7 linked regions of the Oryctolagus cuniculus genome follow. The protein of the gene in region 3 purifies or fractionates together with the protein of the main gene of each other region. This does not show direct contact. Links are inferred from orthologs where the notes say so. Each region holds a gene or a part of one and is shown on either strand. Other genes may lie near its edges.

The links.
Region 1: the proteins of SLC39A4 (region 3) and MGAT1 purify together in Homo sapiens (affinity purification with mass spectrometry; 3 studies listed by BioGRID and IntAct, with this or other methods). This does not show direct contact. The link is inferred for Oryctolagus cuniculus from reciprocal best matches to the Homo sapiens genes SLC39A4 and MGAT1.
Region 2: the proteins of SLC39A4 (region 3) and AGPAT4 purify together in Homo sapiens (affinity purification with mass spectrometry; 3 studies listed by BioGRID and IntAct, with this or other methods). This does not show direct contact. The link is inferred for Oryctolagus cuniculus from reciprocal best matches to the Homo sapiens genes SLC39A4 and AGPAT4.
Region 4: the proteins of SLC39A4 (region 3) and VPS45 purify together in Homo sapiens (affinity purification with mass spectrometry; 3 studies listed by BioGRID and IntAct, counting the BioPlex papers as one, with this or other methods). This does not show direct contact. The link is inferred for Oryctolagus cuniculus from reciprocal best matches to the Homo sapiens genes SLC39A4 and VPS45.
Region 5: the proteins of SLC39A4 (region 3) and LETMD1 purify together in Homo sapiens (affinity purification with mass spectrometry; 3 studies listed by BioGRID and IntAct, counting the BioPlex papers as one, with this or other methods). This does not show direct contact. The link is inferred for Oryctolagus cuniculus from reciprocal best matches to the Homo sapiens genes SLC39A4 and LETMD1.
Region 6: the proteins of SLC39A4 (region 3) and LEMD2 purify together in Homo sapiens (affinity purification with mass spectrometry; 3 studies listed by BioGRID and IntAct, counting the BioPlex papers as one, with this or other methods). This does not show direct contact. The link is inferred for Oryctolagus cuniculus from reciprocal best matches to the Homo sapiens genes SLC39A4 and LEMD2.
Region 7: the proteins of SLC39A4 (region 3) and GOLM1 purify together in Homo sapiens (affinity purification with mass spectrometry; 3 studies listed by BioGRID and IntAct, counting the BioPlex papers as one, with this or other methods). This does not show direct contact. The link is inferred for Oryctolagus cuniculus from reciprocal best matches to the Homo sapiens genes SLC39A4 and GOLM1.

The regions. Positions count from the first base shown.
Region 1 is NC_091445.1:34,438,062-34,442,129, forward strand, and holds MGAT1 (alpha-1,3-mannosyl-glycoprotein 2-beta-N-acetylglucosaminyltransferase), read right to left. Parts: upstream 2,801-4,068; 5' UTR 2,761-2,800; coding exon 1,417-2,760; 3' UTR 350-1,416; downstream 1-349. UniProt on the Homo sapiens protein: Initiates complex N-linked carbohydrate formation. Essential for the conversion of high-mannose to hybrid and complex N-glycans.
Region 2 is NC_091436.1:7,536,589-7,539,141, reverse strand, and holds the end of AGPAT4 (1-acyl-sn-glycerol-3-phosphate acyltransferase delta), read right to left. Parts: intron 1,739-2,553; coding exon 1,540-1,738; intron 740-1,539; coding exon 645-739; 3' UTR 501-644; downstream 1-500. UniProt on the Homo sapiens protein: Converts 1-acyl-sn-glycerol-3-phosphate (lysophosphatidic acid or LPA) into 1,2-diacyl-sn-glycerol-3-phosphate (phosphatidic acid or PA) by incorporating an acyl moiety at the sn-2 position of the glycerol backbone.
Region 3 is NC_091437.1:168,134,529-168,138,602, forward strand, and holds the start of SLC39A4 (zinc transporter ZIP4), read right to left. Parts: upstream 2,801-4,074; 5' UTR 2,281-2,800; coding exon 1,930-2,280; intron 1,597-1,929; coding exon 1,324-1,596; intron 1,045-1,323; coding exon 849-1,044; intron 773-848; coding exon 645-772; intron 562-644; coding exon 390-561; intron 270-389; coding exon 97-269; intron 15-96; coding exon 1-14. UniProt on the Homo sapiens protein: Selective transporter that mediates the uptake of Zn(2+). Plays an essential role for dietary zinc uptake from small intestine. The Zn(2+) uniporter activity is regulated by zinc availability.
Region 4 is NC_091438.1:47,877,321-47,880,820, forward strand, and holds part of VPS45 (vacuolar protein sorting-associated protein 45), read right to left. Parts: intron 3,297-3,500; coding exon 3,186-3,296; intron 627-3,185; coding exon 492-626; intron 92-491; coding exon 1-91. UniProt on the Homo sapiens protein: May play a role in vesicle-mediated protein trafficking from the Golgi stack through the trans-Golgi network.
Region 5 is NC_091442.1:54,530,880-54,534,968, reverse strand, and holds the start of LETMD1 (LETM1 domain-containing protein 1), read right to left. Parts: upstream 2,801-4,089; 5' UTR 2,765-2,800; coding exon 2,652-2,764; exon of another isoform or gene 2,606-2,651; intron 2,564-2,605; exon of another isoform or gene 2,516-2,563; coding exon of another isoform or gene 2,499-2,515; intron 2,084-2,498; coding exon 1,932-2,083; intron 1-1,931. UniProt on the Homo sapiens protein: Plays an essential role for mitochondrial structure and function, as well as thermogenesis of brown adipocytes.
Region 6 is NC_091436.1:135,444,715-135,448,826, forward strand, and holds the start of LEMD2 (LEM domain-containing protein 2), read left to right. Parts: upstream 1-1,312; 5' UTR 1,313-1,359; coding exon 1,360-2,089; intron 2,090-3,450; coding exon 3,451-3,491; intron 3,492-4,112. UniProt on the Homo sapiens protein: Nuclear lamina-associated inner nuclear membrane protein that is involved in nuclear structure organization, maintenance of nuclear envelope (NE) integrity and NE reformation after mitosis.
Region 7 is NC_091432.1:144,419,183-144,422,682, reverse strand, and holds part of GOLM1 (Golgi membrane protein 1), read right to left. Parts: intron 2,583-3,500; coding exon 2,403-2,582; intron 1-2,402.

The sequences.
Region 1 (4,068 bases), on a different chromosome or scaffold from region 3:
TCAGCATGAAGCATCTACTCTGAGGGAGGAGCTGAGTTTAAAAAAACGGGTTGTCTCCCAGACCAGGCCCACTGAGCTCCCTAGAAGCAGGAAGGGATTCACCATGACACTGAGGGTTTCACAGCTAAGATGTACAGATTACCAGTAGGAGTGGAGCTTCAGGGAACCCCCCAACACTCCACCATCAATCCATCCCAGTCCTCTCTTCAACTGTTCCATGGTTTTTCTCCCTCCTTTCTCTTCCAGTCACTTGCTTTCCTTCCTTCAACTTACCCTCTTCTTCGCTTTTTTCCTTTCTTTCAGCACCCTTTACCTCCTTTTCCAGGATATATAAACACAGGCACAAATATTTTTCAGACAATTCAGCCTTTATTTTTGAAAATAATTCTGTAGCTTCCACTTTTCATCCATGAAACTGAGGTCAGGCAAGAAAACACACACACACACACACACACACACAAATTCCTCTCCAACCAACATCTGCATCCTAGCCTGTGAGGACATGGGAATGTTTTGGAGAAGGTAGGCAGGACTTAGCTCATGGCCGGAGTTGTCCTGGTCTTGGCCACTGTAACTTATGTCAGGAGGGCCACCAGAAGCCACAGCCTTAGGGAGGAGCCTGTGTATAAAACTCAGGGAAGAAGGATCACACAGAACTGACCAGCACAGCATTCTCCTGAAGCAACAGGGAGGGGACTAATTTTTAGAAAGGAAGAGGTCAAGAGTGTCTCTTTGAAGTGGTACAATGAAGTTTTTTTCCCACTACCTTTCTCCCAATAGCTGGGTGCGAATATTTCTTTTCCTCTTCATTTTTCATCTTAGAACCAAAAATTGCTAGGCTGCAAAGAAAGAAGAGCTGACAGAAGTCAGGAATAAGGAAAGAAGAACAGAAGGCATTAACTCTGACAACCCAATAACTGCACCTAGACTCTGACAATGAGGCCCCTCTGGTTAGTATTATTCTGGCCACAATATGTTCACTTCTCCTGTAGCCCAGACCCTTATTAGGGGAAGGTAAAAAGGAGCATGAACAAGAAGTCTCATGCCCTGGCTCTCAGGTCAGAAAGAAAAGGCCTGGTTAAGAAAGCTAAAGTTGCCAACTCCTCTGCAGATGACCTAAGAGAAAAACTCAGAACATGGATATTTCTGGCCCCAAAAAGCCCATTCTTCCCCTATCACACAGTGGTTTGCTGCTTGATACCCAACAGACAGCAGAATGCTTTCCCTGATCTAACTCCTTTAACAAAAGAACCCTCACCTTGTCATCTGTGTATTCAAATGCCACTCAAAAAAGAAAAAAAAAAAAAATGGACCCAAGAGGGAAAGACAGAAAAGACAATGCAGCCCAGGGACTACGGTCCCATCTTAGATCATGAAATTGCAAGGAAGGAGCCCAGAAGGGACAGGCAGGAGCTGTTAAGTCCAACTAGGATCATAGCCATCCCAAGTCTGAGGGGGCGCCAGGTGGACACGGCGGCCCCGGAATAAGAAGGTGACAATGCCCCGGTATCCAGCCCTGGGTACACCTGATTTGAGGTCATCCATGACACCCAGGGCCTTGGCGAAAGCCTTGAAGCTGTCCCTGCCTGTGTACTGTACGCGCACCTCTCCTAGCTCCTTCCGGTCATTGGTCCTCACTTTCTCCACCTGTAACTGGGGAGCACCATAAACACGAGCAAGGAAATCCCGGTCATAGGCCTCCTGCTGAAGGTACGACAGGTCCAGCTGGGTGAAGGGTACAAACTGCTGGTTCAGCTTGATGAACTTGAGATGCTGGTCAAAGAACTGCCCATGGCTCACACCCTTCCGGCCAAATGTCATTGTTCTTGAGATTTCTGGACGCACACAGGCCCTCCCCTTTCGCTGCTCAGGCCGGCGCATCCAGTCATCCCAGAAGGCTTTGGGCCACTTGGGCTCCAGTTCAGCCCAGAGTTCAGCCAACAGTAACCAGCCTAAGCCAGGAAAGAAATCTGTGCGGTAGAGTAACTCTGGCTTACTCGAGTCTACCATCTGTTCTTTGCCATTGTCATTCCAGGCAGACACACACCAGAGGGAGGGGTCTGCTTTCAACAGTGGGTAAGTGGCCTGGAAGTACTCAAAGAAGTCTGGTGCCACCTCGAGATCATCTTCCACCACCACAGCTGCTGGGTAGTTGAAATTGTGGAAGATTTGGCCCAATGCCCAGCGGTAATGCCGTGCGATCTTGTAGTAGCCCTGGAACTTGCGGTGGTCGGGCTGCACAGCAATGTTGCTCAGGTCAGGTTGCCGGATGTGTGTGACTGCGCTGCCATAGGAAGCAATGACCTGGGCTGTCTCCTCATGCCCACAGTCCTGGCTGACAATGATGGGGAACAGCTCAGCTGAAGGCCGATAATGCAGTAGCTTGTCCAAACAGCGGCGGACGGTGCTGCGGTCACAGGCAATTACCAGGATGGGGATCACAGCTGGCGGTGGGGTCACAGGCACATGCGGCTGAGCAGGAGGGGCTGCAGTAGGCACCTTCCACCGCTGGCTCCAAAGAGCATGGTGCTCCCTAATCTGCTGCAACAGTCCCCGCTGACGTTCCAACTCTACCTCGGCATCCTGAGCTAAGCGGATCACCTCACGGGTGAGGCTGGCAGGGTCATCATCGAGAGCATTGTCTGACGGCAGCCTGCTAGGCACTGGACGTGTCCAGAAGAAGAGGAGCAGCAGGGCATTCCAGGCCACAAAGAGGATAGCACCCCACAGCACAAGCCCAGCAGACTGCTTCTTCAGCATCCTGGCCCCCACAGGGGAGGGCAGGCAAAGGTATGACTTGAGGCTGCCGTTGGCTTACCTGGTGCACTCTCCCACAATTCTAGAGATGCTTCCTCTATGCTACAGGATCAGAAAGCAGCCATACACCTAGAGAGGAGAGAAAGATAAAAACAACATTCACCAAAAAGGAATGAGGCCCCATACCCATATGGAGTAAAGGAATGTTAGCAGTAGGAAACAGGTAAAAACATGAGGGAAAGGGAAAGTAGGAGGCTGACTTAGAGATCTCATAAAGAAAAGCTACCTTTTCCCTTATTAAGACAGTCAACCTGCACTGGAAAATAGGATTAGGAAGATACTCTGCTCCACCAACCCAAAATGAGCTGATGAGTCTCAGAAAAGCAATTGAGGTTTGAGGGAAAGTAGAGGATGATGTTGGTGGAAGGAAAATATAAAAGAACTCTAGCTCCCCTTTTCCCTTTTATTTCCTATCTTCCATCTGGAGTTTAGGGAGAGGAATACGGGGTGAGATAATCTGCCTCCCATTCATCAAATCAATCTGCCCTAAAATTACTGATTTGAAAAAAAAACCTTAGGACTAAAGTCAGCACCTTACCTAATAAGAAAGCACAAGGCATTCCCATGAATGTCAGGAGCAAATCCAAGCTGCGCAAGATCTCCAAGGGTATTTAATACTGTGTTGGAGGTATCGGCCAATGCAACTGAACTACAGAAAACAATTAAAGATAGAAATGAAAAAGAAGCAAAACTATATCCAATTGCTGATACTAAAAATACACCTAGAGGACTCTAGAAGAATCCATGATAGACCTACACCAAAGAACTGAGAAAGGCAAAAAAATTTGCATACAAAAATCAGTCCTCATATCCACAAATAACTAGAAGAAATAATGGATAAGATAAACCTGCATGCCAAAGCTATGAAAATGATAAAACATTTAGAAATAAGCTTAACAACATTTAAAACTTACATGAACTAAGCTACATATTCTGAAAGACACAAGGATTTGAACACCCTTTGTTCTTGGTTAGGACATCTAAACATCATCAAAAATATCAATAAAAATACTTTTTCATGGAGCTACCAAAACTGACAATGAAAAATGAAACACATAAGAACGACTAGGAAAATAAATGAAATAATGAGCTATGAAGAGAGACTATCCCTGTCATGTATTAAAATATCACATTTACAAAGCCTCCATAACTAAAACTATGGTGCAGGTACATAAACAAACAGATCATCCAATGGGATAAAATTTAACTCCAGAAATAGATCCTCCATACATGGAAATCTAGTGTATGATA
Region 2 (2,553 bases), on a different chromosome or scaffold from region 3:
CCCAGTCCTGGTGGCTGCCGCCGCAGTGTTTTATAAAGCAGCCCTGGCTGTGCTGTGACTGCAGGGGGCGCCAGTGGGTGTAAGGCCTCACGTGTCGCCACACGACGCCCATGATTCTTGTGCTTCACCGTCAGTTTCTTTAGGGATTTGGGCCTGAGCGTGGGAACTCAGTGGTCAGCCTCCCAGCACCTGTCCCCGTGTCCCCAGACACCAGCCCTCACCCCTGGGCAGCTCCTCCTGCAAGAGCACCGACCACAAGGCGGAGGTGGGATGGAGAACGGAGGGGGCGTCCGTGTAGACATGGGGGCCAGGACTCTGCGTGATTGGGTGTTCTTACTAAAGCCCCTTTCACTGTCTGGCCATCAAGGGTTACAGAACACTGCACCGGAGGGTGAGAGGGACACCCCTTCCCTCCCCCCATCAGACGGGCCTCACCCTCCAGCTCGCGCCCATCCACTCACCCACGCCCACACCAAGAAGAAAAGCCAGCACCCACTGAATGGTGAGGAAAAGGGTTTAAGAGCATCTCCTCCCCGTGCGGCGCCGCCAGCCGCCTCCCTGCCGGGGAGCCCGCGGCCTGCAGGGAGCCCGAGCCGCGGCCACCAGTTCCCCAAGGTTCCCTTAGGCACACACTGCGGCCCAAGTCAGTCATTCTGTTTCTGCCTGCTGTCCACGTTGCCGTAGGCGGAGCCCTTGTCGATTTCCGTCACGCCAATCATCCATCGGACGCCCATGGAAGCTGCAGAGGTGGGAAGAGCAGGGTGAGGACAGTCCGAGAGCCCCGGAAGCCGGCTGGCTGCAGGTAGCCCGCATCAGCGGAGCGCCGATGGGTCCCGGGTGCTGGCTCGTGACCCCAGCTTGACAGTCACCCCAGGCCTGGACATCTACGTGGGCCTGGGTTCCAGCACCGCTCGGGGGCAGCCGCTCCTGATGGCAGGGCCCACGTGAAGCTGGAATGCAGGAACTCCAGCTCAGAGGTTGCAGAGGAAGGCCCTCCCTCCCGGGAGGCAGACTTGGGGCACTCTCCCGGGGCCAAGACCACGCCTCCACGTGCGAGCACCGGACCCAGGGCTGACGGGAACGGATACGCCTGGACTCCGGTGCACGAGCCTGGGGGTCTGCAAGCTGCCTGTGCAGCCGCCACGTGGGTCATTTACAAAGGGGCGGCTTCTGCTCGGGGCCGGCTCTCGGGGGACCCGACTCAGAAGGCCCCTGCTGCACTATCAGCCATGGAAATGAGACTTGGAGGGTGCAGGAGCAAGAGCAGTGTGCACACTGCCGTGCGAGGCCTGGGAGGGGGAGCGGCGATGCACCCAGCGCCCAGGCACCACCACTGGGGCCCAGGCTCGAGGCTGAGGAGGCACTGGCCAACGGGGCCAGATCGTGAGACTCCCGCAATCCCTGGGGGGTGGCTTTGGCCAGGGCTCTCGCTGTTACGTGCAAATTGGCTCCAGAAATGCCCCAGTAGCCAGGGGGAGTCCGGCCCAGGGCCCCTCACGGCAGCTGAGGGTGGGTGTCCTTGTCACCGAGCCCACTTACCCACAAAGAAGACGAGGAGGAAGCTGGCCAGTGTCAGGGACGAGCCGCTGCTGACCGTGTTGACCACGAACTGGAAGAAGGGGTAGAGCAGCAGGGAGGCCCAGAAGAGCCAGTTGATGATGGCCCAGGGCCGCCGCGGGGGCACCCGGGGCGTCTCTGGGAAGATGCCGGTCCTGTGGTATTCCTCCTGAAAGGCGTCCTGGGACAGAGAGAGGAGGGGACCCTCAGATGCCAGCAGCGCCCCCGCCACTCCTTCCCCGAGTACCTGCACGGGACGTGTGGAGAGGACAGGAGTGCCCGCCCTCGGAGCTGACGTGGGGCAGGAGTCTGGTCTCTGAGCCCCGGCTCCTGCTCTGTCTAAAGGGGCAGCCATGCCTTCCAGGAGAGGTTGCTGGGAGAAAGGCCCAGGCCAGGCCCTGGAGAACTGGAGGGACCTGACCCATGGTGAGGTGCTCCATCACCCCCTCTTTCCTGCCTCGGGATCTGTGACTGCTATGGCTACCGGGGTGGCCAGAGAGGCGACCAGGTTCATTGTGGCCTCGCTCATGGGAGCAGCTTCTCCGTAGGTCCCCCCAACTTGGAACCAAACAGCTGAACCCCCAGAGCGCTGAGGTCCCCAGGTGGCTGGCAGAAAACCCACTCCAGGCCCAGCATCCGGCTCAGTGCCACGCACAGGCGAGACTGATGTGTCTCTCCCCTAAGTCTCTGATGCAATGGGACCCCCAGTTCAGACACGAAGCGGGGTTCAGCCTCTGGTTGCCCCGGGAGCAGGGCAGGTGACGTGAGGGAGGGAAGCAGGAGGACCCAGGTTGCCGAAGGGGAGCTGGGGGTGGAGACTGGCACCCCAACAGTGCAGGCTCTGAGGCTGAGCCCTAGGGAGCAAGTTGGAGCCACCAGCCACAGGCCACCAATCCAACACCTGTGGGAACATCACGGGGCCAGCAGTGGCCGCACCTGCCGGCACAGCCATCTGTGTGCCACAGAGTCAGCCCCAGCTGGCAACCCTGAACTGGC
Region 3 (4,074 bases):
TGCAGGCCCAGCACCTGGGGAGCAGGGGGCGCTGGGCTGGGAGAGAGGCTGGGGCGGCGTCCCGGGGTGGGGGCGCGGGGGTGGGGGCGGGCAGACCTTGGGCGTCAGGTGCAGGAGGGCGTCGCCGGTGAGCGCGCCCACGGCCAAGCTCAGGAAGGTCTGCAGCACGTAGTGGGTGGCCACGCTGCAGTGGGTGCAGCTCAGCAGCAGGAGGCCGAAGACCGCACACAGGCAGATGATCAGGGTGGCCAGGGAGCCGTACAGGTACTCTGGGGAGCAGGGCCGCGTGAGGGGGCGCGCATGGCTGGCCCCTCACCCCTGCCCCTCCTCTGGGACAACCGGCACCCTGGGGCACCCTGGGGCACGGCGGCGGCCGGGCGGGCACTCACGCTCGCTCTGGCTGAGCTGGTCCTTGGTGGAGGTGGTGGTCTGGGGGCTGCAGGCCCCGCTCAGCTGCTGCTGGAGCAGGGCAGGGCTCAGCTGGGCCCAGCCCTCCGGGCTCACCCCTTCCTGCTCCGACAGCCCGTACACGGCCATCACGTCCCTGGCACTCAGGCACGCCTGCGGGGTGGGGGGAGACAGCGATCAGGGCCTTAGCATCCCCGTGGGTGCCCATCTGCCCCCCGGGGCCCCAGGCCACTCACCACGTCCCACTCGTGGGAGCTGCTGTTGAGGGCACCAGGCTCCTGGGGGCCGGCCGCCCTGCCCAGACTCCTGTGGTCACTGTGGGCCTCAGCACCCAGCCCCAGCGTGTGCATCAGCGTCTCCAGCTCTGGCAGGGAGGCCAGAGTCAGCGCCGGCCGCCGGCTCCGGCCCCGCCTCGCCCTCCCGAGGGACCCGGGTCTCACCGGCCAGGGTGAGGTTGGGCGCCTCGCCACTGTGGTGCTGGAACACAAACTCCACGAAGTACTGGGGGTCCGGCATGGCGCGGAAGCAGGACCCGCTCCTGGCGTGGTCCAGCAGGGCGGCCAGGGCCGCGCCAGGGCTGCCGGGGGCCCCTGCCCCCACCGCCTCCTCCAGCAGCTGAGGGACACCCGTGCAGGCCTGGGGGAGGAGATGGCCTCAGCCTCCCCCGGCGCCTGGGCTGGCCGCCTGCCCTGGCACCCCGGGTCTCCCCCACCAGCCCCTCCCTTGGCGTCCGCTCCTGTGAGCCCTCTCCTCCCAGGAGCTGCCAGTGAACACCACCTTGGACCCCAGCCCCCCGCCACCTCCCCGGCGTGCCCCAGGTGCCCTGTGTGGCCACAGCCAGGACCCCCAGGCGGCCCCTCCACTGGCCGTCGGCCCTTCTCATCCATTCTGTACCAGGCCTGCCCATGCCCTGACCTCCTCCCCAGTGGCCTGGCGGTCAATGGGGTCCTCGATCCTCCGCAGCAGCCGGCTCAGGCCCGCGGTCAGGGCCCCGGGGCCCTCGAGCTGGGCCAGGAGTCCATCGGCGCGGGCGGCCCAGCGGCCAGCCCGGATGTCGGCACAGGTGCCCTCCGGGTTGCTCAGGAAGAGGGCGGCTGCTGCGCTGAGGCGGGCGATGTGCCGGGACTCCAGGGCCCGCCCCGGTGCCTCGGGCTCGCCCAGGGCCAGGGCATCCTCCACAGACGGGCACTGTGGGCAGAGGGTGGGCAGGGGCCAGGCCGGGCTGTGGGTCTGTGTGCAAGGAGCTGCAGCACCCCCTCAGGGCACACAGTGGTCCCCACCCCGGGAGTCCACACCGCATGGCCGTCTTAGGCCGGCGGATTGTTGTGTGCACACAGGGCGTCCCTGGCTGGGCTCCCCGTCTCCAGCTTTCCCCAGGAGCCACCACCAGTTTGATGGCCCCTGGATTCCTGGGCGCCCGAGGCCCGCCTCCTGGAGTTTGCCCGGGCCCTCTGCTGCGGCACACAGGGTGGAGCAGGCGGGAAGGGGCTGGGGCCGGGGGCCGTCGGGTGGGGCAGTTACCTTTCCACACGGCCCGCCGCAGTGCACACGGGCCGCTAGCGTATTTAACAAGCCGCCCAGCGCCTCCCGGTCCAGAGCGCCCTGGCTGGAGGTGAGTAGGTTCAGCAGACGGGGGTGCTGGGCCGCCGAGGCCACCGCCACCAGCAGGGCCAGGAGCAGCCCCGGCCGGAGGCAGGCCGGGGACGCCGGGACCGCCATCGTCGGCCTGCTGCTCAGCGCCTTCTGGAGGCTGTGGGTGTCTGGGTCACTGGGGCTGCCTGGGGCCAGGCTGGGGCTGGGCCTTGGGAGACCTCTCCCAGGTATTGGCTGCAGGGCTCTGTGATTGGCTGCTGGAGGCGCCGGATTAGCCATTCCAGTAGCAGGTCCTCCCTGGGGCTGCCGTGGAGCCTCAGATGTGTCTGGTGAGACCGGGTCTCTTCCCTGCAGGTGGGTGGCCTTGGCACCTGCTCCCCCACCTGCCACCCCCAGAGGCAGCTGGTGGGGCCACCCCTCTGCTCCCCAAGGGAGTTGCCTTGGGACCCCGGCGGCTGGCCCCAAGCTGGGGTCCTGGGACGGAGGTGGTAGATGCCACGCGATCACACGCGGCCCCAGGCCCCTTGCTTCACCCCCTTCCTACTGCCCCCAGCGCTGGTGGCCTAGGAAGCCCCTGTGCCCTCAGGAGCCCCCGTTAGGATGGGCGTGGGGAAGCCTCTCCCTAGGTGCTGGGCTGGGGTCTCCCGGGCAAATGCTGCCTGCTGAGTCATGCTCCCCCGCCCAAGTCTCCAGGAACCAGCCAGAGACCCAGCACAAACAGGAAGGGGAGCCGGGGACCTTGGCCTGGCCGCTCTCTGGTTGGGAGCACCTGGGTCAGGAGGTCAGGGCCGGTCCTGAGCTCCAGGCCCAGGGAGGGTTCCCAGCCCTGCCCCTCCGGGCCAGCTTCCTGGCCTTTGAACCCCTCAGCCTTATCTCTGCCTGCTGGGCTCAAAGCACTGCTGGGCCCTCCCTCTGGTGTCCCACCAAGCTCTGACCCTGAGCCCTGCCTTTGGCGTGTGGCTGGGTGGGGAGCTGTAGCCTGAGGCTGGAGGACTCTGCCCCTGCTCTCCACCCAGGTCAGGTGCTTCTCCCCTCTGCCCCATCCACACATGCTGAAGCCTGATGCCCTCAGGCCAAGGACACCTCTGTGACCTCTGAGCCCCAAGGATCTGGGAGGCAACTAGTGACTTGGAGGCACTGGGACTGTAGAATCAGAATCAAAATGGAGTGAGCGTGGCTAAAAGCTAACTGTAGATCTCTTGCTTCTGTACATATTAGCTTTGCTTGCTAACGACTAAGGGTGTCTCTTGTGAAGCCGGTGGGGGCCGGTGCCGTGGCGCAATAGGTTAATCCTCCGCCTGCGGCGCCGGCATCCCGTGTGGGTGTCGGCTTTCGTCCCGGTTGCTCCTCTTCCAGGCCAGCTCTCTGCTGTGACCCGGGAGTGCAGTGGAGGATGGCCCAAGTGCTTGGGCCCTGCACCCACATGGGAGACCAGGAGAAGCACCTGGCTCCTGGCTTCGGATAGGCGCAGTTCCAGCCGTTGCGGCCATTTGGGGAGTGAACCAATGGATGGAAGACCTTTATCTCTGTCTCTCTCACTGTCAAGTAAATAAATAAAATCCTTTAAGCCGGCGCCGCGGCTCACTAGGCTAATCCTCCGCCTAGCGGCGCCGGCACACCGGGTTCTAGTCCCGGTCGGGGCGCCGGATTCTGTCCCGGTTGCCCCTCTTCCAGGCCAGCCCTCTGCTGTGGCCAGGGAGTGCAGTGGAGGATGGCCCAAGTGCTTGGGCCCTGCACCCCATGGGAGACCAGGAGAAGCACCTGGCTCCTGGCTCCTGCCATCGGATCAGCGCGGTGCGCTGGCCGCAGTGCGCCGGCCGCAGTGCGCCAGCCGCGGCGGCCATTGGAGGGTGAACCAACGGCAAAGGAAGACCTTTCTCTCTGTCTCTCTCTCTCACTGTCCACTCTGCCTGTCAAAAAAAAAAAAATCCTTTAAAAGAAAGAGACTATGTGGGCCCAAATTTCCAGGAACTAGGTTGAAATGTGCCCTCACTGTTACCTTACAACCGTATCTTGGATCTGTTATTGGGTTTGTCATTGTTAGCTGTTATCTTACAGCCATATTCTGGCTTT
Region 4 (3,500 bases), on a different chromosome or scaffold from region 3:
GTTTTTGCTGTTCTTTTGGTTTCTTCTTCTGAAAGTCTTCCATGAGATTCTTTATATTACTACCGATTTCAGCAAAGTTTAGGTACATATTCTGTGAAAAACAAAGTTGGAAGCATAGTTCATCAACTAGCCAGTGACTTTCAGAAAATTTAAAAGAAGTGAAAAATAATCCCGAATACAGAATTGAAGGGCAGGAAAATTCCATTCTAATTACCAAATTTGGACATTAGCCAGGACACTGGTGATGAATATCATTACTATTCTCACAAAGAGCTAGTAGAAGGGACAGAAGTAAGTAACTGTGTGATCTCTACAAAAAACATATTGTTAAAGGTCAGAATCCAAGTCTTCTGCCTTCCCTTGAGACACAGCCTATTTATAGGAAGTCTCCACCATCCTTTCACTTGAAATCGCATTCCTGCCCCTATTCTAATAAGCCAATATTGGTCTTCTTACATAAAAACAATTCAAAAAATTTAAAAACCACCTACATTAGCGTAGAATTCATCATTTTCAGCGGACAGCACGACCTCTCTTAAGTCTTTACTGATTCCTGGCACTCTGGAAAGGTCAATCCGATTGTTGTTTATTCCTAGCAGCTCATGGACCATGGCCTGATATGTCCACTAAATATAGAAGTATGGCAAGAAAAAAAAAAGGTAACTGACAAAACATGGAAATAGTACACGTTCAGGAAAACAAATGAAAATTGATAACATTTTTAGTAACTAGTCTGCTTTACATGGAGATTCTCTAGTTCAAATTTTTAATACTTGGTGCTATAATAAACATTAAGATTCTCATTTTAACTGGTTAAACACTCAAAAGTCAAGATACTTTTAGATTTCACGCTTTTGGAAGAAGGACAGAAGGATTAATATTCTTGATAGAAAGAAAACAAATTAGATCTATCATTAGTTCAACTCTTTGCCCGTGAATGAAGAGTATATTTTCGGCTTCACAGATAGGGCTATATTGGTACTGCAGTTACAAGCTGTACCATTTCCTGTGCGCGTCTGTGGTTTTCTGCAGCATGAGAAGTGTGTTCTTGCAGATCTGAGTGGTGCTATATTTATCCTGGGAACACTAATATTATCAGAAAAACCTTGTGAGTTGATCAAAATACTGGCATGTTCAGAACCTTGCCTCTGAATTCATTTTGTTTTACGCTCTTAACCTAATATGAATTGTGAGGAAAGATTGATTTCCCATGTTACAAAATGGAAAGCAGAAATCCCCAAATTTTACCTTTTTACCATTTATGGAGAATGAATTGCTCTCAGTCATAGGTCCCTTATATAAAACTATAGTATTTTCCAACAAATTACCTAATAAATATAGAACCTAAGTGCTGAAAGTATTTATATACATCTATTTTATCTTAAGAAAACTAGGCTTATTTAGAAAAAATTAAAAGTGTCATAAAAGAGGGTACTTTCCTAGATTTGCCAAACGAATACCCACAAAAGCAATTTCATTAGGGCACTTAAAAGAAATGCAGCAAGATGCTATGTGCTTCTATGGACAGCATCCTATGCATGCTTCCACCATAGCTCTTATTGGATAATTAAAATTATTTGTTCACTTCTCTCCTCATTGGACCATGAGCTCTCTGAGAGTAGGGATTGTATCTTTTAACCTTTAATCTCCAGTACTTAGTTCAATATGTGGCATATAACAGGTCCTCATTGAAATCTGTTGAATGAATAGTTGCTTTTCTTTGGGAGATGGAATTTTTAGGCAATTATTTTTCTTTCTGCTTTTTTATATAATAAAAAGTTTATTTGGGGGTTGACACTGTGGCGTAGTATGTTAAGCTTATGCCTGTGGTGCCAGCACCCCACATGGGTGCTGCTTCAAGTCCCAGCTGCTCCACTTCCAATCCAGCTCCCTGTTGATGGCCTGGGAAAGCAGTGAAAGAAGGCCCAAGGACTCAGGCTCTTGCACCCACATGGGAAACCCAGATGAAGCTCCTGGCTTCTGGCTTTGGATCAACCCAGCTCTGGCCATTGAGGCCATCTGGGGAGTGAACCAATGGATGGAAGACTTCTGTCTCTGTGTCTCTCCTTCTCTCTGTCTGTAACTCTGCCTCTCAAATAAATAAAGAAATCTTAAAAAAATATTTCTTTAGTGAACATATTTTTCTTTGAATTTTAGGAATACAGGGCTATCTTCTATTAGAGAGAAGTTTCATTGCACAGCCACAGATTTTCCTTTGCAGTAATATTATTATAGTATAAGCTAGAAAGAAACTGAAATATAGACTGCTTTTTTTTTTCTATAAATTCAGCTACTATTAATAGAGCACCTAAAATGTGCAAGGCAGTGTGCTTACACTTACAAAACACACTATGAAGCCTTGAAGAATGGACAACTAGGAGAGGGTGAAAGTAACCAAAGGTATGAGTCCAATATGGCAGGTGTAGCAAGAGACCTAAGAGCAATACAAAGTTCTACAGTGATTTTAGGGAGAAAAGAATGTGTCTAACTGAAAGAATACAGTCTTCAAGGAGATATTAGGTGGCTTTTGAGTGGTTTTAAGGGAGAAATACTCTGATAGGTGAAGGGGAGAAGAGAAGGTATTTCAAACATTCCAGAGTTCAGGTAGCAGGCACAGGAAGTCATGTGGCATATCCACACAGCAACAAGCCATAGGTTTTATGTGTGGTGATGCCCTGGGATGCCAGGTCCAGGAGGTTTTTAACTTGGTAGGCAAATGAGAACCAATGAAGATTTTTAAGCCCAGAGTAGCAGGACTGGAGCTGTGCTTTAGGAAAAGAAAATTAACAAGAATGTATCTGTGGATAAATTAGAATAAGAAGAAATTAAAGTAGGGAATCAACTAGATAACTCTTTCAATATTCCTACAAGACCTTAGAGTCTGCACAAGGCAATGGCAGTAAGAATGGAAAAGGACAGAAAGAGGAACAGAATTGAGAGGCTGTCTTGATTCAGAGTGGGGGGAGTAGCAGCAGAGGACAGGAAGGATGAAGCAGAAGAAAGAGTTCACAATTATTATGGCTGGAAGAATAGTGATACCACAGCATCAAGGAAATACAAGACCAAAACACTAAGAGCAAGAAATAGGAGGCAAATAAATAGACCACACTATTTATCTCCATATCTCTATTTTGAGGAATATCACAAAAATCAACCTTCTATTAAGCTGACAAAGGATTCTGCACCTGATTTAGCAATGGGGTGATGGCATCATCACAGCGATCTAAAATAAGTAGCAACGGAGGAACCTCTGTCCGCCGGAATTCAAACAGCTCGTATTCTTTAGTTATCACTTGCTGTGGTGAAAGAGAAAAATGGTTTGGTAAACCAATTAGCTGCACATGGAGATGACACAAATAAGAGATCAATAAATAAAAACCACACTTAACAACAGTTCTTTGCACCCACATGGGCCTTCCATAAAAGGATTCAAAAGCTTCACAAAGTTTAGTACCATTCCATTTAAGAAGTTAAGATTTTAAACCTTAGTTTACAGGCAG
Region 5 (4,089 bases), on a different chromosome or scaffold from region 3:
AGTGTGACGTTATCCCAGTTTGAATCTTATCAGAGCTTCCTACCCTATGTTCACTCACACACACACACTCACATGCACACACTCACACACACGTTCAGCCTCCCCAACATTACACTGCATAAACGCTTTAATGGAGGTAACCCAGAACTCTTATGAGGCCAACCCGGCCTTTTTCCCCTAGCACAACACCTCTCTTCAAGCTAAGTTGGGACTCATTATTCATCCTGTCTTTCAAAATCAAGCTCACTTGACTTCAGAGAGTCTTGCTCGATTAGCCCTAGAGATCACCCAGCCAGACATTAACTTACCTACTTTCTTGGAACACTTTTATAAATAATATAATCCAATATATTTTTATAATTCTATGTTAAGGCTTCGTACTATAGAAATTCCTACCTTTACCAAAGACTAGCTTTTTTTTTTTTTTTTTTTTTTTTTTTTTTTTGACAGGCAGAGTGGATAGTGAAAGAGAGACAGAGAGAAAGGTCTTCCCTCTTGCCGTTGGTTTACCCTCCAATGGCCGCCATGGTTGGCGTGCTGCGGCTGGCGCACCGCGCTGATCCGATGGCAGGAGCCAGGTACTTATCCTGGTCTCCCATGGGGTGCAGGGCCCAAGCACTTTGGCCATCCTCCACTGCCTTCCCGGGCCACAGCAGAGAGCTGGCCTGGAAGAGGGGCAACCGGGACAGAATCCGGTGCCCCGACCGGGACTAGAACCCGGTGTGCCGGTGCCGCTAGGTGGAGGATTAGCCTATTGAGCCGCGTTGCCGGCCAAGACTAGCTTTTTTAAAAGTCTTGTCATAGTATATTTACAATTTAAGTGATATCCAGATTGACTTCAAAAATGAAGGAGAAAGCTAGCATTTAAATGAGGTAAGAATGACTGTCTTAAGTTAATAATGTTGAAGTGAGGTTGAGTACATGGAAGTTCATTACATTATTTTAATTTTGCATATGTATGTTTACAAGTTTTCAATTAGAGGTTTTAAAACAAACCAAAATGCTTTCAAACCTTTCTCTTATTAAGTCCTAGTTATAAGCCTAAGGGCAGACAAAACAGCCAATTCTATCTCTCTAGATAAGAATAAATAATTGTAAAATTAGAATAATTTTCCAAGGTGACTAGTGTGGTACTTTATCATAATTGGCATTATCATAAAAGCACACACTATAACAACTAACACTTAATGGGAACTTACTTAGTACCTTTCACATATCAGAGTATGTCAAAAAGTGCATGGAAAAAATGGAATTAAAAGATGTTTGGTTTGGTACAAAGATTATGATACCCAAGTATAGTTTTCTCATAATACACATTTTCTATGAAATGTCTGGAGACTCCTGGCAGTGACTTATTTAACGATCACAACCATGTAGTCAATAGGGTCTATTCTTATTTTTAACAGATTTTGAGAAAACCAAGGGACACAGAGGTTAGGGAACGAACCCAATCACACAGCCAGCAAGTGACAAGCTGAGATTTGATGCGGGACCCTGACTATGGAGTAGACAGGGCACTGCTTATATGGTGTCCTAGGATGTAGATGTCTGAACCACAACATTCAGAACCCAATTAGTACTGTTTAGTACAACATGCTACCTAAGATAGATTTGGGACCTGCATTTAGACTTCCCCTTTGAATGGGCCAGGTCAGCTGATAAAAACAGGGCGATCAACTATAGCCAGGTGTGTGGTTACCCACAAGAAACCTACTTTCTCTTCCCTCTCCTGTGTTGTCAGAAGCTGTTTCTCATCCCATCTTTCCAGAAACATCCTCACATTCTAATTTATAAGAATCAGGCCTCTATGAAACAGAAGACATCCTAGCTCACATCCTCAGGGCACAACTTGCAAAACAATCTCATTTATTTCCTTTGCCGACGCGGCCCAAGAGCTGACTCAAGGACTTCTACTGTAGTTCTGTGTTTACCTTTCATGAAGATTGTATACAGGACATAGAAGCGGGGGAAATGACGGCCCAAGAAACGATGGTATTTTCCATTAATCGCTTTTGTCTTGGTCACCACATAAGAGATCAAACTCTTCACATCTGCCTTTGGAGAAAAGTGAAGCTTGCAAGACCTACAAGGAAGATCAAGAGAGACTATCTGGGAACCAGTCCAAGAAGCCCCCCACCCCCAGCCCCGCACAACCTGGGGGTCCCTAACATACAACTCAAGCCTCAGAGAACGTATGCCAAGACCTGAAGCTCCTGAAATCAAGGAAGAAATCTTGGGGCCTAGGGATACAGACTATAGGGCGGAGGACAGGCAGGAAAGAAAGAGAGGCAGTGAAACGGAGCCGGAAAGACTGCAAAGCTTCTGCGACAATCTGAACCACGGGGAAGGCTTAGAGAGAGAGGTGGAATCAACACAGTAGCTATTAAACTTGAGCCGAAAACGGGGCTGAGAGATGGATTCGGAACACTCAGGGCGGACGCGTAGACCAGACAACACGGAGCACTGAAAGCTGATAGTCAGGAAGTCAGGTCTCTAACCCGATCGGGGTGCGCATCTTGAGAATAATAATAAAAAAAATATCCCGGGGCCAGGGCGGGGAACCCTGAAAATGAAGACAGCATGCAAGTAAGGTGGAGCCACTTGCAAGGGCCTGGACGTCAACAACGCTTTTCTCTCTCCAGGTCCCTCACCGAGGGGCCACCCAAGAGTGACCAAGCTGCAGCCTCCGGCTGACAAAAGGTCCACGGGTGACAGCCGAACTCCAGAGAGCAGCTCGAGCCCAGCACACCCTGGAGAGCGCCATCTTCACCGCGAGGGCGGGGCGAAGGGGCGGGGCGGACGAGTGGGTGTCTGCGGATCAAAGGTCACTGACGACGCATGCGCCTCACCTGGGCGCTGATTCGGTAGCCGCGGCGCGAAGTACGGAAGAAGGGCCAGGATTGGACGCAGCGTTACTTCCGGGTTTAAAGGCGCCGGAAGAGGTCTTTCCCCGAGGGAGTGAGGGCTTGTGTCAGTAGTGGGGGTTTGTGAACTTCAGGACGCCTTCTCCTTGAGAGGCCTAGTGACTTCACGATTCCCTGGGGTCTCAGAGCTTTCTGGCGCCTCCCTCCCTTAACCTCTGCCTAGACTCGAGGCGTTGAGGGCTTGACCGGTTCCCGATGTCAATTTGGCAGCGCCTCCGGCCACGTCGCCCCCTGGCGGCTGGGAGGACCCGCGGCGCTCTCTGAAGGTGGCGGCCTAATTAATTGGCCGGGAACTGTCCATTTTCGTCCGGGTGGCTGCAAAGAGTCAGCAACGTGGGAGCGGCCTCCTTGCTAAGTACGCTTTTCTTTTTCTTTCTTTTCGTGGAATTCCGGAATGGGCCTGTGGAAAAGTATCTTTCGTTAGGCGCCTACTGAAGACCAAGCTTGGTGTCAAATGCTAATTTTTCTGACCCGCCGTTCTGAAGTAGTACCCACAAACAGGACGCATATATGTATTTTTTTCTCGTATCACCCTTGTATTTTCTTTATGCATTCGTTTCCCTGTTTGACCAGCTTCCTGAACAAGACAGCAAGCACCTCTTGCCTGGGTCACTTCGGTACTCCCAACACTAGGTGCCATACTTGGCACGGACCAGAGCATTTAAAAAAAAAACATCGTGGAAAACTGGAATTAGGAGATGTGTATTTGGAGAGTGTGTTTGGAAATCCATGCATAGTCGCTCATCATGCACATTTTCCATAGACTTTTTCAAGATTCCCTTAAATGCATGAATTTCAAAATACCGTGCCCAGAAGAAACTATCTTTGGATTCTGTTTTCCACAAATGAAGCACCCTCGTAGTTAGTGCTCAGTAAACATTTCTGAGTAAATTAATACTTGAAGCTGGGGAGGATTTGCAGAAGTGGCACTTAAGGTGCTCCCAAGAGTTCACGTTTCTCTTGGGTCCGTGTGACTGTTTAACCTCTGTGGAGGGGGGGAGGTGGAAAGAACATTCCATTTGGAACCACGGAGTCTGAGCACCCGCCGTTTGCTTTCTTGTGTGCGACCTTGGACGTGTTAGTCTAGCTCTGAGTTTGTTCCCCGGGAAGTGGCACCCGCCTTAGGAGTTCTGTGATGAGCAAAGAACACGATGGAGGAAAGCCT
Region 6 (4,112 bases), on a different chromosome or scaffold from region 3:
ATATTGAACTGCACAGCTGCGAGGAGTTGCACAAATGTTACCAACTCATTTGTCATGCAAACAGTGCTTCAGAAAGAAATAAAATACTATTATGTGGTGTATGTGCTAGGCAATCACTATATCAAATTCATGGCATTCCGTGCAAACACAGGCAGAGAAAAGGAAAACAACACTTGGTGAGAGAAACCGCACCACATGGGAGCAGCTAAGTCAGGGAAGACGGGGAGCATGACCAAGCCCAGGCTGTAATTTTCCCAGCGATTGGGGCCAGTGTTGAATACCCCTGGGGTAGAGCAAGTGGCAGGAATGCACAACTCTCCTGGGGCGCCTTGCTCGGTCCTCGTCCCGGGAGAGGAGGGACAGGTTGAGGGAAGGGGGGGGTGGGCCTCGGGACTGCTGGGTGAAGCTACCGGGAGGAGGGAGTGTGGGAGCGGGAAACACGCGTGGACCTACTAGGCAGGCAGGGAGCAGTGGGGAGGGGGAGGAGAAGGAAGGCGGTGACGTAGAGTTCCCTTGCTTCCCTTAGCGGGTGCTAGGAGCCCCTGTGTAAGCAAGTCGCCTGCCCCGCGAGGGGCTCTGCGCGGTGCTGGCCACAGAGGCGTGGGCGAAGCAGGCACCCTGTCCTAAGCACCTTGCACACAGCACCTCTCCCAAGCCTCACAGCCACCTCTGGAGGTTCACTGGCTGCCGGGACAGAGACGCTCGTGGTACAGGACCACACATCCGACAGCTGTGCAGCAGGGGTTTGCAGCCCAGCTGTCGCCTTCGGAGTTGACATCCTAAACCACGAGCGGCGGCAGCCAAGACCGCGCGCGTCTCGTCTCGGGGGTAAAACCCCGAGCGCCGGAGCCCAGGGCCTCCACGCAGCCGGGGCCAGGCTGTGTCCCCGGCGGGCTCGGCACAGGGTTGGCCCAGGACGTCTCGGCGCGGCGCGTGCTTGGGTCCCCCCCCCACGACACAGAGGAAACGCAGTCCAAGCACAGAGAGGCGAGTGATCGTGTCTCCCAGTGACTTGTCTCTCACCATTAGGCAATTCATCCATTAAATCAACACTTTATTGAATGCCTACCACTTGCCGTTGACCGCGCTAGGGGCGCAGGAAGCAAAGAAAAACACTGCTGGGTCTAACAAACGGAGAGCGAGGGGGAGGGCGCCGCAAGACGGGAAAAGGGAAGAAAAAAAAAATCCTCCGACCTCCCCAATATGGCCGGCGCACGAGCCAGGCCGACCTCCCCAACATGGCGGCACGCCGACCTTCCCATCATGGCGCGCGGCCCCGCCCGCCCCGCCGCGGCTGCCGGCGCGAGCAGTTCCGGGTGCGGTGCGCGCCGGGGGCGGGCGGGGGGCGGCGTCCTGGCCATGGCCGGCCTGTCGGACCTGGAGCTGCGGCGGGAGCTGCAGGCCCTCGGCTTCCAGCCAGGACCCATCACCGACACCACTCGGGACGTCTACCGCAACAAGCTGCGCCGCCTGCGGGGCGAGGCCCGGCTGCGCGACGAGGAGCGGCTGCGGGAGGAGGCCCGGCCGCGCGGCGAACTGCGGCTGCGGGAGGAGGCCCGACTGCGCGAGGAGGCGTCGCCGCGCGCCCGGCCCGCCGCGGCCTCTCTGCGGGCGGAGCCCTGGCTCTCCTCTCCGGCCTCGGCCTTCACGAACCCCGGGGCCTATGGCGATCTCGGGGCCTCCGCGGCTTCCTGGGCGGGGAGCCGCGGCCTCGCCTTTCCCGCCCGCCCCGCACCGTTCAGGCGCCGGGCCTCGGTCCGGGGCAGCTCTGAGGAGGACGAGGACGCCCGGTCGGCCGACAGGGCCGCGCTGGGCCCGGGCCTCTCGGGCCGCCGCTGGTGGGCCGCGTCCCCGGCGCCGGCGCGGCCGCCCTCCTCTCTCCTCGGCCCCGACCCGCGCCCGGGCCTGCGGGTCACGCGAGCCGGCCTTGCAGGCGCGGCGCGGGCCCGACCCGAGGTGGGGCGGCGGCTGGAGCGCTGCCTGTCTCGGCTCCTGCTCTGGGCCAGCCTGGGGCTGCTGCTCGTCTTCCTGGGCATCCTGTGGGTGAAGATGGGCAAGGCCTCGGCGCCGCAGGAGGCGGAGGACAACAGTACGTCCCGGGCCGGCGCAGGGGAGGGCCTCTGACTCTCCTCTCCCCTCCAGACCTGCGCCTTCCTCCTTCCCCGCACCTGCAATCGTGCCTGCCTTGGCTGTCTCCTGTTTTCCTTTTCTGCCCTGGCCTTGCCTCCTAACACGGCCCTCTCAGCCACGTGCTGGGGAGCAGGTTGAGGTTTTGCCCCAGCCTCTGGCTTTCCCTCTCTTAACAGGCCCACCCCCACCTCTTTCTGCTTATGTCTCCTGCGTTGCTCTCCTGCTCACCCACACACTTGAGGGCACCCTCTACATCACTAGCCCCACTGGTCGGGTCTGGTTGAGGTCCCAGCTTTGCAGTACCAGAAAGGCCACCAGTTCACTTCTCTGGACCACAGGCCTTCGTTTGTCAAAGGGGTTCCTCCTAGCTCCGTGCCTGAGACAGGCACTGGGGGAGCTTTTAAGAGTTCAGGCTGATGGCAATGGGAGGTGTTGGCGTAGCTTGCGGCGCCCTCGTGCAGTGAGGGGTCTGTCGGATGCAGTGGGTCTCCCAGCAGCTGGGGGCTTGCATTGCCTAAATGGGAAATTTGAAGAGGAAACAACACAGGGGTCATTTAATTCTAAATCTAGGTATAGAGGGACACTCTGGTGCAAAGCAGGAGTACGATTCACACTGCTCCCAGCCTCGGGCCAAGGCCACATCTTTCCATGCCTAGTGGGAGCAGGTGAAATACGGGGGGAGGCTAAATTGTGTCTCTGCTGTGTGGCAGGGGGATGCTGGGGGCATGTACCGTCTGTGGGCATGGGGACCGCAGACTTAATGCAGGTGCCCAAGGGATTGCGGTCTGTCACCTCTGTGACTCGGCGTGTCCACCTGCAGGAGAAGTGGGGCACGCCCCCAGTGGCGTTCGGGCCCGGGTGGAGGTGGAGGTGCTTTAACACGTCAGCGCTGGGTTAAATGCTGAGATTTGCCTGCCGCTCGCCCCAGGGATGGTGGCGTCCTTGTCAAACACCGCACTTTGTGGACGGTTTACAAAGCTGCCCCATGCTTGTGTTGTGTTGTTGGAGACCACGTCCCTGAAGATAAGCGGAGCAGGCCCATCTGGTCCCATTTGAGAGGTTCAGAGCGTGTGTGTGTTGCCCAGGGACCTGTGGCTGGCGGTTTGCAGCTGAGCGGAGGGCCCGGCTGTCCCGATTCCTAGCCCAGGACGGGGAGACCCTCACACTTCGCCGTGTGCAGTGCAGAGTGCCCCCTTAGCTGGCTGCCAGCCCCGTGTTTGTGTCCCTGTTGGCCTCGCCCTGCGTTTTTCGCCAGTGGTCTCCGTGGTCTTCCCCCCAACCCACACTTTTAATTTCCTCTGTTTCTTTTCTGGGTCTCAGTGAAGTTGTTGCCAGTGGACTGTGAGAGGAACTCGGATGAGGTGAGTGTGGGCTGCCCGGGCTTTCATTCTTCCTCCCCAGGCTGTCGGCCTCCACCAGGAGGGAAACTTCTGCAGAAGAGGATTGTAATAGGCTCATTTTCGGGGAGTGCGTCCTGTAATGTGCCAGAATCACATGGTGTTCTGATGTTTGTGTCAGACTCAATTGTGACAGTGAGGGAGCGCTTGAAACAGAACTGAGCTCCCAGGATCCTACCCTGGGCTTGTCGCAGACGCTTTCCCATCAGGCATAGCGCCGGGGGCTTTGATGTGCCCGAGTCGATCTAGGGGATGCGGTGGGTTGTTGTCGGGGGCCTCCGCAGCTCCCAGGCCTTGTCAAGCCTCAGGAGGCCAGGTTCTCCGCTCCGCACGCTGGGCCTGGCCGTGTTTGTCTGTGGCTCTGGAGTTGCTGCTCTGCTGGGGAGCACGGGGGGGGGGGGGGGGGTGTTTGCAACACATGTCCTGGGAAGTGGAGTCGGCCCGGGGCCCGCGTGCGGATTTGTTTTCTGAAGCTCTAATGTTCTCTACAAATAATATCGGGGGAAGCCAGCGGCCCCATCCCTCCGTGAATATGACGGCAGCACCTGCCCGGGGCTGGGACGCCGGGAAGATACGAGGCGGCCA
Region 7 (3,500 bases), on a different chromosome or scaffold from region 3:
CATTTACATGTAAATGGTTACAATTCACTAAAATTCAGTCCCTTGGCCCCAGCAACCCTAGTGGTGAGTGCCACTGTGCTGCAGAGAACATTTCTAGCAGAGAACAAGACAAAGGCACATTAGGAAGGACATGGAAGATGGGAGTCGGGAGGCCATCCCAGGTCCAGGTCTCATCCTGGCGACCACTGCTCCCTGAGCGCCACCTGTCACGCCTGTAAAATGGCCGCAGCCTCCTAAGGGGGTTGAAAGGGACCCGGAAGGGGTGCCTGTGAGTGTCAGCCCGAGAGACTCAGCAGAGGCTGACTCTCAGGGTCTGGGAAGAGATGGCGCACCATCTTCCCAGACTCTGAGAACCTGGGAGCCTGTGACATTTGCACAGGAAGTTGCAAATCCCAGGAGGAATTCTCTCAAACTCAATTCTTTGAAAATAAACTCTACTTCTTCTCCCCAATAGTGTTTATTTTTTTTAAGAGATGCTGTGTGTACTTACACGGTGAGAAATGCCCAGGTCCTATGACATTCAGTGGAAGAGGACTTCGCAAACACAAATAGTGTCCCCCAGGGAGGAAAAATACAGGACTCTGTTCTAACATTAAAATCAGAACAATGCCCGAGGAAGAAGTATGAGTTTGTGAATATGGCAGAGGATTCTACAGATAAAGAAAAGTGCATTTACAATCTGTCCAGAGCGCCTGAGGCCAGCGAAATGCTGGACACCAGCTCCTACTAACGCCAAGTCCACATCTGACCCACTGGATGTCGGTGAATCAACCAGCCCAGAGAGAGAGGTGCGTGCACCACAGGGCAGCCTGAGAAGGGACCCAAAACAAGCTCCAATCTCAGTGCCTGCGTCTGAGTCCCAACTTCAGGTCCTGACTCCAGCCTCCTGCTAACGCCCACCCTGGGGGGCAGCAGATGATGGCTGACGGACTTGGGTCCCAGCCACCCACAGGAGACCTGCAGCCAATTCCTAGCTCCCAGCTTTGGCCTGGCCCAGTGCCAGCCGATCCAGGCTTTGGGAGAGTAAACAAGCAAACAGGATCTCTCTCTCTCTCTCTCCCCCAAATGAAAAGCCTACTCTCTTGAGCCTCTATTTTGTGAGTAGCACATAGAAGCTTGCAACTCTTGCCCTTCGTGAAGGCACGGATGCTTCCTCTGGGAGTCCAGCACCTAGCACAGGCCCAGCCCAGAGCAGGTGTTTAACATATGTGTGTAGAAAGGAAGCCAACAGGGGATCGATCTGTTAAGGGCCTAAGCAAGTCCACGCCAAGTTCCAGTCCCCACAGAGATTAGAATTTAAAGCAGAGGGGGCCCACATTGTGGCAGAGCCGGTAAGGCGCCGCCTGAGACGCCAGCATCCCCGGTGGGCACTGGTTCGAGTCCCGGCTGCTCCACTTCTGATCCAGCTCTCTGCTGTGGCCTGGGAAAGCAGCTGAAGATGGTCCAAGTGCTTGGGCCCCTGCACCCACACAGAAGACCTGGGTGAAGCTCCTGGCTCTGGCCTGGCCCAGCCCCAGCCCCAGCCGCCACCTGGGGAGTGAACCAACAGGTCCAAGATCTCTGTCTCTCCCTCTCTGGCTAACTCTTTCCAGTCAATCAAACCAACTAGCTTGATCAAGATGAGCTTTGAATACAAGGAATTTAAAGCAGAGGAATAAGCGTAGTGCTCAAGTGAGAGCAGGATTTATCTGAGAGTGACTATACACACTCGCCTGCATGCGGGCCTCTCCCCAAGGAGACATCCCAGTCATGAGTGGGCCACACAGCTGCCTAGGACTAGAGCATGGGAGGCGGCCGGAACGGACCCAAAACAAGAGCCAAAATGCACACGGGGCGTCTCAGCCCCTTCGATAAGGTACAAGATGTTGCCCTAATTGAATCCACACACAGAGCGGTGTTTGGTGGGAAGATCGAGTGTCATGGCGCCTCCCCATGGAACGTAACTTCCTTTTCCGGAGGAGAGGTGCCATCCCCTTCCGGGTCCTGGACAATACAGGTGCATCATGGGAAAGTGACCGCGACCACTGCGATCCCGGGGCCTCGAGAGGTGCCTCCCCCTTCCGGTCCTGGATGAGACAGGTGCATCATGGGAAAGTGGGCGTGGCCGTGACCAGTCCCACCCAGGAGAGGTGCCTCCCCCTTCCGCGTCCTGGATGAGACAGGTGCATCATGGGTAAGTGGGCGTGACCATGACCAGTCCCACCCAGGAGAGGTGCCTCCCCCTTCCGCATCCTGGATGAGACAGGTGCATCATGGGTAAGTGGGCGTGACTTGGAGGGCCCCACCCACAAGCCATGGATGGCCAGGGTTGGAGGCAGAGTGAGACCCACGCACCACGTTAGGAGAGCCACGACCACCGCCCAGGGCGCGCCGCGGCCGGAGCAGGGGCGCCCGGGTCTTGCCTTTTCGTCTTGGCACATCTTGTTGACGCTCTCCAGCTGGAAGCTGTGGCTGGACTGGATCTTGTCCAGCTGTCCCCGCTGCCTCTCCAGCTCCCCCTGGAACTCGTTCTTCTTCAGCTCCACGGCGCCTCTCTCGGCGGCCGCTCGGCGGACCCGGCCCTCCAGCTCCACGATCCGCGTCTGCGGGGAGAGCACAGCGTGAGAGCTGGCGGGGTGCCACGCGCGGGAACCCCGCCGAGCCCGGGGCCCCCGCCACGTCACGACCAGGGCCCAGCCCAGGCCGGTGCCATGCCCCAGACCCCCACCACGCCAAGCCACCCCACCCAAGACCCCCGCCACGCCACCCGGGGCCAGGGCCCGCCACAGGCCAGTGCCATGCACGCCACTGGGCACTGACTCCTCTTCTCCTGCTCCTTAATCGGACCCGATTTCTGAACGCGGGTCCCACGCTCCACTCCGGACACGGAGGGGCCCAGGGGCTCCGGCGGCAGCCAGGGACGGTGTCCGTGGCCGAGGGCGTAGGACAGACAAGACCCCCGGCGTCAGCCCGCTGGCTGTCAGCCTGCCCACCTGTGAGCTGAGTACAGCTCAAGCCAGCTCTTAGGGGTTGTGTACAAGTGCGCAAAGCAGGAAGCTGGACACGAGCTGATCACGCATCTCTCGGCCCTAGTTTCAATCTATAAAAAACCTTTACCCCTAATTCCCTAGGGATTACGCAATCGCTCCTTGCTTCCTCCTTTGTAACACACATCTACTTTCTTCCACCACCCCAATGGCAGTGGCTGGTTTTCTGCACCACGTGGGGCAAATGAACCCGGTTGCGGGGGGAGGGCGGTTTACAGCAATACCTCCAACTAGGCTAGGCTGTTGGCTCAAAGCGCTGTTTAAGAAAAATTATTCCGGGGATGGGGCTGTAGTGCAGCACGTTAAGCTGCCACCTGTGACGCCCTGCAACACGAGCATCCCGGAGCAGAGCGCTGGTTAGAGACCTGGCTGCTTCACTTGCGATCCAGCTGCCTGCGAATGTCCCCCGCGCGCGCACACACACACACACACACACACACACACGGGAAACCCTGCCCGGCCCCGCCCCAGCTG